Caenorhabditis elegans: one gene and its partner. The protein of the gene in region 2 interacts with the protein of the main gene of each other region in a pairwise test. Each region holds a gene or a part of one and is shown on either strand. Other genes may lie near its edges. The genes, in order: ife-1 and pgl-1.

Evidence for each region.
Region 1: the proteins of pgl-1 (region 2) and ife-1 interact in a two-hybrid assay, tested with the Caenorhabditis elegans proteins (3 studies listed by BioGRID).

The regions. Positions count from the first base shown.
Region 1 is NC_003281.10:13,341,608-13,345,184, forward strand, and holds ife-1 (eIF-4F 25 kDa subunit), read left to right. Parts: upstream 1-1,809; 5' UTR 1,810-2,000; coding exon 2,001-2,055; exon of another isoform or gene 2,056-2,105; intron 2,106-2,216; coding exon 2,217-2,682; intron 2,683-2,728; coding exon 2,729-2,903; 3' UTR 2,904-3,011; downstream 3,012-3,577. Other genes in the region: nud-1 (Nuclear migration protein nudC), read left to right, coding at 1-26, 74-932; dro-1 (Protein Dr1), read left to right, coding at 1,077-1,493, 1,576-1,713; acaa-2 (3-ketoacyl-CoA thiolase, mitochondrial), read left to right, coding at 3,352-3,364, 3,435-3,577. UniProt on the Caenorhabditis elegans protein: Recognizes and binds the 7-methylguanosine-containing mRNA cap during an early step in the initiation of protein synthesis and facilitates ribosome binding by inducing the unwinding of the mRNAs secondary structures.
Region 2 is NC_003282.8:6,974,002-6,979,291, forward strand, and holds pgl-1 (Guanyl-specific ribonuclease pgl-1), read right to left. Parts: upstream 3,318-5,290; coding exon 3,210-3,317; intron 3,143-3,209; coding exon 3,011-3,142; intron 2,964-3,010; coding exon 2,817-2,963; intron 2,773-2,816; coding exon 2,414-2,772; intron 2,366-2,413; coding exon 2,025-2,365; intron 1,979-2,024; coding exon 1,836-1,978; intron 1,790-1,835; coding exon 1,618-1,789; intron 1,574-1,617; coding exon 1,050-1,573; intron 1,006-1,049; coding exon 616-1,005; downstream 1-615. Other genes in the region: him-3 (HORMA domain-containing protein), read left to right, coding at 3,525-3,726, 3,769-3,982, 4,029-4,201, 4,249-4,535; prkl-1 (LIM zinc-binding domain-containing protein), read right to left, coding at 5,027-5,140, 5,209-5,290. UniProt on the Caenorhabditis elegans protein: Guanyl-specific endoribonuclease which cleaves the phosphodiester bond in single-stranded RNA between the 3'-guanylic residue and the 5'-OH residue of adjacent nucleotide, resulting in the formation of a corresponding 2',3'-cyclic phosphate intermediate.

The DNA of each region.
Region 1 (3,577 bases), on a different chromosome or scaffold from region 2:
GATGTACTATTTGAATTTCTTTCGAGGTAAGAAATTTTTTCAAAGTGCTTAATAAATACATGTTTTGTTTCAGAAAGACGGATTTCTACAGTGGCGCTGGTGTCGATCAAGCCCGGACCCTTCTCCTCGAAAAATTCGATAAACACGGTGGAAAGGCTATGAAGGAAGCTGAAGAAGCCAAGAAACGGAAGGAAGAGCAGGAGAGGAAGCTTGCTGAACGAAGAGCTGCACAAAAAGCTAAGGAAGAGGAAGAGTTCCGAAATGCGAAAGTCGTGGAAGTCACTGATGAGGAAGCGGCCGCGTTTGAAAAGGAACAGGCTAAAAATTCTGTTGAAAATCTTGAAAAATTCGTCGATAACGAAGGAGAAACATCGAAAGACGCTGAAGTCGAAGATGAGGACAGTAAGCTCATGAAACCAAATAGTGGAAATGGTGCGGATCTTGCCAAATATCAATGGACTCAAACACTCCAAGAACTCGAGGTGAAGATTCCAATTGCTGCTGGATTTGCTATCAAATCTCGTGACGTTGTCGTCAAAATAGAGAAGACTTCAGTATCTGTCGGCCTGAAGAATCAAGCTCCGATTGTCGATGGAAAGTTGCCTCACGCCATTAAAGTAGAAAATTGCAACTGGGTAATCGAAAACGGGAAAGCGATTGTCCTAACTCTCGAGAAGATCAATGATATGGAATGGTGGAATCGATTCCTTGATTCCGATCCTCCAATCAATACTAAGGAAGTGAAGCCAGAGAACTCGAAATTGAGCGACTTGGATGGAGAGACACGTGCCATGGTCGAAAAGATGATGTATGATCAGAGGCAGAAGGAGATGGGTCTTCCAACGTCTGATGAGAAGAAAAAGCATGATATGCTGCAACAGTTCATGAAACAGCATCCTGAAATGGACTTCAGCAATGCTAAAATTGGATAATTCTGTGAATTTTGTGAGATTTGTTCCGAAAATATTATATTTATATTCGCATAAATGTACTCAGTTTGATATTAATTTTATTTCATCTTTAAACTTTTAATAATGTATTTCTCATTCCTTATATCTCTTTTAGATCCCTTAAAAATGCAGTGCTTCAACACAATTTTCAGACTCTTCACAGATATGGATGAGGACAATGAAATCGGACTTCCACAGAAAGGTATCAACCAAATTATCAAAGAAGTTGTTCCTGAAATGCGAATCGCCAACGAGTCGAGAGATATGATCAATGCTTGCTGCGTTGAGTTCGTGAAGCATATTGCGAGAGAAGCACAACGAATTGCGAGCCAGGATCAGAGAAAAACAATATATCACGAACATGTTCAGAAGGCACTGCAGAATTTAGGATTCACACCAGATTATCTCGAGGCCGCCGACAGTGTTCTCGATGCCTGCAAGGTTGAAGCCGAGAAGAAGCTGCGAAGGAAGAACTCTCGTCTTGAAAAATGTGGTATTCCAGAGGAAAAATTGTACGAAATGCAACAAGAATTAATTCAGAAGGTAATTTTTTGAGGTTTTCAAAAATAATTTTGTTTTTATAAAACAAACACTCATTTCCTCAATGTTAATATTTATTTTACAGGCACGCCAACAAGAAATTGAGCAGCAGCTTGCTCACCAACAAGCACAAGCCGCGGCGGTAGCAGCCGCAAACGCACAAATGTTTGGAGGACCATCAGAGGGCTCTTTGGCTCCAACCGACGATGACTACGACAACTAGATTGTTTTTCTTCGCTTTTTTTTTCTACGGGTTCTCATTTTATTTCTTCATTTGTGTATTTACCTTGATTCATCATCGATAATTTCTAAATCTCTTTTTAAAATTGTTGTACTATATTCCACCATTTCCTATTTTCCCCGTGAATTTTTTTACTGACCCGCTCCATATTTCAATGGCACGTCATTTAGGGCACGATTAGTTGGCGTTTTCCCCAGTTGTTCTCGGCTTCTCAGATCAGTCCTGTTTTTGCCTTGCCAGTTGTCGAGGTGCGAAAATTTTAAGCGCAAATGTCAGATTCTGAAATAGCATTTGAGAAGCTGAAAATCTCTGGGGAGAAAGAAGGTGAGCCATTCCCTTTTTCATTATCGTTTGAGTACTATAAATTATTCACAAAAAAACTGTTTCTCGCCGTTTTGCATCACTTTTTTGGTTCCACGTGCCCATTTTTATTTGCATTCATTTATTCTCTCTGTTTACTGATTTTACTAATCGAGTTCTTCCAGGTATGACTGAAACGGAGCAAACGACGGCACCCATTTATCCGCTGAAGCGTAACTGGACGTGGTGGTATTTGAACGATGAGCGCAACAAGTCTTGGGAGGATCGTCTGAAGAAGGTGTACACCTTCAACACCGTCTCGGAGTTCTGGGCTCTCTACGATGCTATCCGTCCACCAAGTGGCCTCAACGCGTTGTGCGATTACAACGTTTTCCGTGACGATATTCAGCCGATGTGGGAGGTTCCGGAAAACTCGAACGGAGGACGCTGGCTCATCGTCATTGACAAGGGAAAGACTCCCGAAATGGTCGATGCTATTTGGCTGGAGATTCTCATGGCTTTGGTCGGCGAGCAATTCGGAAAGGACATGGAGTCGATTTGTGGGTTGGTGTGCAACGTCAGAGGAAAAGGATCGAAGATCAGCGTCTGGACTAAGGATTGCAACGATGATGAAACCAACATGAGGATTGGGTATGCATGTCTATTTTTAATTCTATCTTGAATTTTGGAATTTCAGAGTTGTGCTGAAGGAGAAGCTGATGGCCGCATCCAAGGACCACTCAAAGCCACTGTTCGATGTGATCCGCTACGAAGATCATGAGAGCTGCCAGAAGAAGACCAGCTCGGTTGTGAAAGCCAAGCTTTCATTGCACTCGTCCGATGCTCCAGTCGCCGAGAAATCCGCCGTCTAAAGCAGACCATTTTGTATCTGCTCTACTTGTTTTTTAATTACACCCGTTGCTTGGCTAGTATTTCACTCGTTGTTTTGTGATTGGTTTAATAAAATTGATGAAAATTAATTGTATTATATTGCCTTGTGGTTTCCAGGCCCAATTTTGTATCTTATTGTAGTGTAGAATGTAGCCTTTAGGTCAGAGAACAAGTAGCGGGAATGATGATAAAAAAGACACCGCGAAAGTCGGCCATTCTGCTTCTTTTTCGTCTCTGCGTCTCTTCTCTACCTATCTTATCGGCCCAACAAACAACCGAAAAACTTTATTTTTGTTCAAAAGCCCCTCTCAAAATAATTATGCAGTTTTCTAAATGCCCTTTTTTTTAGGTTTTTTCACCTCTTCCTAATAATTTGTTACTACTTATAAGAACGTTTTTATTTACAGAACCACACAAATACACTGCAAAATGGCAGGAAAATGTGAGTGGGGGTCAAAGTCCATGGTCGTTGTACTAATAAGTGATCAGTGATGTTTATATTATGTCTGCAGGTGTGTTCATCGTCGGTGCCAAGCGTACAGCATTCGGAACTTTTGGTGGAAAGCTGAAAGGATTGAGTGCAACTGATTTGGGAGTCGTCGCTTCTCAAGCAGCGCTGAAGCACGCTAATGTTGGAGCAGATGCCGTCGATCAT
Region 2 (5,290 bases):
TACGAGATCGAAGTTTTTGAACTTATATGAAAATCAAATTTTCTGAATTTTTACATATGATTCGAGCTTTTTCAGGAAAAAACTAGTAAGCTCAAAGTCAGAAAATGCTCTGAAAATTAGTATTGCACTCCCTAATAGTCTTGCATTCCCTATTAGTATTGCAAGCGGGAAGACCATCGAAAAATAGTATTGCAGCCATATTAATAGAAGAAATACGGTATTTGTTATGTTCGAATGCAGATGTCTCATAACGATTTACAACTCTAATATGCGTAAATGTATGATAAGATCAGTTGAAATTGTATAAGAATGCATGCAGTGCCACCTGTTAATTTTATGATCCACCAATCATTCGGCACCGTCGATTCAGACATCACTTTTCTCATCAAGCCGCAGAAAGAGATATACGTGTAATTAATTGAGTTAATTTCTTGCAACAATCTAGTTCAAACATTTACCGGGAACAAGGAAAAACAGGTTGAATAAATAATAAATGACAGTCAAGGTTTTAGGGATTTTACAACAAGATTGTTAGAATAAATAATGTGCGTAAAACGTGTAAGTATACAAGAAGTGTATACTTAAAAAACAAATTAAACATTCAATAGTTGGAGTTTAGAAACCTCCGCGTCCACCACGACCCCCGTAACCACCACGTCCACGATCTCCGCCGTATCCACCTCGTCCTCCGCGGTCTCCCCCGCCGTATCCACCTCTACCTCCACGATCTCCGCCGTATCCACCTCTGCCTCCACGGTCTCCACCGCCATATCCTCCGCGACCACCTCCTCCTCCATAAGCTGAACTGGTGGGAGCAAATTGACCGAATCCTTTTGCAACTTTGGCTTCCCCAAATCCACTGACTTTGTATTGATTAGTCGGGGCAGGAAGAGGCATTGGAGTAGCGTCGCCTGACCCCCATGCAGTTTCAGCACGAGCTTGTGGTTGTGGTGTAGAATCTTTGTCAGCAACTGTGGTTTCCTCTTCATCTATCTGCTGCATGCCCTGAAAGAAATATTTTTATAATTCTGAAACGATGAACGCGATACCGGTGGCAGAGCTACTGATTTCGTTGGAGAATCCCAGCCATCGGTGGAAAAACTTGGCGCTACTTCTGGCGAAGCACTTGAAGAAGTATCTTGATTGGCATCCGAAGCCATCTCGATCTCGTTAACTGTTTGCTGTTGTTGTGCATCGTTAACCTTTTCTGGGACAGGATCGACCGCTTTTACAGTAACACCTTCTCCAATGTTTCTTGATGAGCTTAGCAAAGTCGAAGAATCCACTTCGTCACAAGAAATCTCCTGAAGACTGAGTGAATCCTTTGAATCGACAAGTAACCCGGAAGAATTGGTATCACTGAGACCGTTGAGAACTTGAGCTTTAGTATTTACGCTGTATGTGTTGTGAACCGTCGTCATTTCCTCTTTCGTGTAGGCGGAATCCTGCTGTTGGGAAGTGGATGGTTGCACATTGCTCTTTCTGCCACTTGGTGTATCGGACAAACAACACTTCTCCAGTGATTCAACAATTCGAGTGACATGAGTCTTCGAGTTGATTCCTTGAACAAATTCTGAAATTAAAAAGTTAACAGGAGATAAAAAAAGGAATATTCACTCTTGAAGCTATCGACGAGAAGATTTTTTGAAGTGGAATCCAAGAAACGAAGCTCGCCCAGCGCTTCAGTCTCATTCTCGGATCCGTAAAACTCTGTAAGCCACAGTGCAAACTGTAGAGCTTTATTCACATTATCGATCACCGCATCATTGTTTAGTGGACTCTGAGGAATCTGAAAAACGGTCATGTAAGTAATGTTTATAGAATCATTAACTCACCAGTGGAACGGGCTTATCGAAGCATTGCTCTAGAATTGAGACTTGGAACTTCTTGATAAGTTCCGCAATGGCTCGTCTTTTCCAGGCGCTCTCCAAGTCTTTCGCGACTCCAACAACATCCCAATCCTCAAAAGACTTCTTAGCTGAAATATTTAGATTTTAAAAGTAAACAAAGACGAAAATACTAACATCCTAAAAGAACTTGGATGATGTGATTGCCGAGGAACACCGCACTCTTGTAGACACTTCTTTGCAATCCTGGAAAGACTTCCGCTCTGACACTCGTAGGAATCCCAGAGAGGATTTTCTTGGAAACCTCGCGCTTTCCATCTGCAAGTGAACGAACGATAAGGAAAAAGAGCTGATATCCGAGTTGAGATCTCAAGACAAGTGACTCGTCTCCTTCATTTTTACTCGCTTCCTCGAAAAGTTGAGCGATATGGTTCACAACTTTCCCAACAGACTCTTCGAGTGGATCCATGAGGAGACTAATGAATGGATCGGCAGGTTCAGATTTCGGACCATCCAACCTAAATTGAAAAAAAAAATCGAATTATTTTGAAAAGGACAACAATTACATCAACTGTTTCAACAACGGCTTGCAGCTATCAAATGCGTTGACGACGTTATCACGGATAATGTCGACCTCGTCGCTAGTCTCCTCAGAGATAAGTCCGAGGATTTTAGTTAGGACATAAACATCAAAGTCCAGATCCAGTTGGCTGACAAGTTCCGTGAGCTCAACAAACTTTTCGGCGGCATCATCGATTGCGATTACTTTGAGAAGAGCTTGAAGAATCTTAGCGTCTTCAGTCTTCTTCAGCTTGGCCTTACGGGCGAGCATTCCGAGCTTCTTGTCGTCATCGATGACAGAAACCAGATCATGAGCATGTCCCAATCCTGACAATTTCTCAGCAGCAGCATCAAATTTCGGACGCTAAAACGTTATAATTGATTACAATAAGTTTAATTCACACTTACAAATTTATCTCCGAGAAGAAGACAAACGTCCATGCCAGCAGCAATAACGGCAGCGTTAGCGTCGTTCGGCAAGATCATCTCCAAAATGTCTTCGTCTCCAGGAGCGTCTTTGGAAGCTCCCAACACGAAAGCAGCCAACTTATTGGCCTGAAATTGAATAATAGAAAATCGGTCTTTAAATATTATAGTCCAACCTGAGATGTATTGTTGAACAGTTCTTCGTCATTCTTCGTGATGTAGTGGGCCAAATTTGGGAAAAAGTAGGATCTCAGCCCACCGAAATCCACAATTTCTCGCTTGTTAGCCTCCATGTGAAATGGATGAAACTGAAATAAATATTTAAATTTTTAAAAAATTTTTCGAGATTAGAATTCAAAAAAACGCAAAATTTACCCAAAAAAGTAAGAAAACGGAAAAGAAAATTGGGACGAGATCGAAATTGCAACTTCCGCGTTCGCGTCGAGTTGTTCGTTTCGAGACCCGTAGATCTGAAACTTCCATGCGCCTTTAATAATTTCTAAGTTTCTGAACTATTTCCAGATTTATTTTACCTATTTTCTAGTTTTTTTTTTCAAATCAAAATATGTTTAATCAATGCGGGGTTTTATAATTAAATAATATGTTTAACTTGTTATAGATTTTATAGATATTATTTTTTAAACATTTTAATTTGTTTCACGATGATATTTCAGTAATTGTAGGTTTGCGATGGCGACGAAAGAGCAGATTGTTGAGCACCGCGAGTCTGAAATTCCTATAGCCAGCCAGTGGAAGGCCACGTTTCCCGTTGATCTAGAGATTGAAAAAAATTCTGAAATGTTTGCGCTTCGCTACATAAAATGTGCTTCGGCCTTCATTCTCGATCGCCGTGGCATTTTGGACGAAAAATGCTTCAAAACTCGAACAATAGGTATGGCTTATTTTACAATGTATCACAAATATTTTTATACAGATAAACTGTTGGTCACCGCATTCCAGAGCAGTGTTCCTGCCGCAAAGCGTGTGTCTTCAACATTCGACGGATTGAGAGATGCGATTCAACAAGGCTATTTGCGAGAGTTCGCAATCGTGTTCTACAAGAAGCCAAACGAGGAAGACATTAATGAAGTGTTTGCGTTCAGGTTTGCTTATGGAGATGAAGGAGAGATTTTCGTATCTCTAAATAAGTAAGCTGCTGGTCTTATTCAATTATTCGTTTTCAATTGTTTTCAGCGGAATCGACACGAACGAAAGCAGTCAAGAACTGTTACAGGCGAAATTCGTTGATACCGACAACACGAAACAAATGTTTGCAAGCACAATCAAGAAACTTCACCGGTGTATCAAGAAAATGGAGCCGCTTCCTCAAGGGTCCGACGCGAGTTTCCGTGTTTCGTACACTGAAAGTAGGTTACATTCACAGCTTTAGTCTATTTCTAACTGTTATTTTAAGAAGCTCCAAAAGACTATACACCCGAAGGCTATCTGCTGAGTCCTATGTTCTATACGCTGAATCAGGATATTAGGAAAGCATCTATTGGAATCGTGTGTGGCGGTCATCACAAAATTCAAATGCTTGCTGCTTCACAATACTTGAAGCAAGACTTCGATCTGGATAAAACGACCACACTCAATCCAAATATGTCAATCATGGCAAACCAATCGAAAAGGAAGGGACGAATTTCCAGAGATTCCCCTTACGGTCTCAGTCAGGGCATTACGAAGAAGAATAAGGACTAGTCGAAAAGTTTTCACTCATGTGCAATGTTTCTCTTGTTTTATATTTTTAGCCATTGTTTTTATAATTTCATTGATTGTCGTGCTTTTGTCTTCTCTTGTGTGATATCAATCTATCTTCTTCACGTATAGTTTCATCTGTTTGATTGAGTTATTTTTCTTTCACTGTAAGTCTGGTGTTTCGTAGATTTAGAAAAAAGTAGCGTAATAAATTATTTTGAAATGGACCAAACATTCAAATCCAGTTCAGATAAATTTATTTCATTGAAGCAGTGTTGGAATTCGGACAAATGAGAAGTGAATATTCATTTGAAATAAGTTTTACATTACTTGCACTGTTGGCTGGGTGTTAAAAATAGGTTCAATATTGAATTAATAAAATGGGACAATTCACCGTGCAGAAAAAAACGAAGGAAAAGGCTTAAAATTGAAGAAGAAGTATAAAAGAATCACATGGGCTTTTCAGGAATTCAGTAAATGTTTGGACAAGTATATCAAGATACTGTACATCTGGAACTTTTCTTTTTCTTTGCCATTCGAACACCGCCTCCCGACATCATCATTGGTTCATTTTTCTTTGATTTACGACTGGAAGACTTTGCAGGAACCTGAATTTTTTATGATTGAATGTTTGGAAAATCTCAAATTGATAGTGTGGAATAAATTAAAAACTTACTCTACTCAACGAGGCGGCTGCCATAATATTTGAAATGTAAAGCTGTTCATCATCTGAATCCGACGAAGATGATGTACTATAT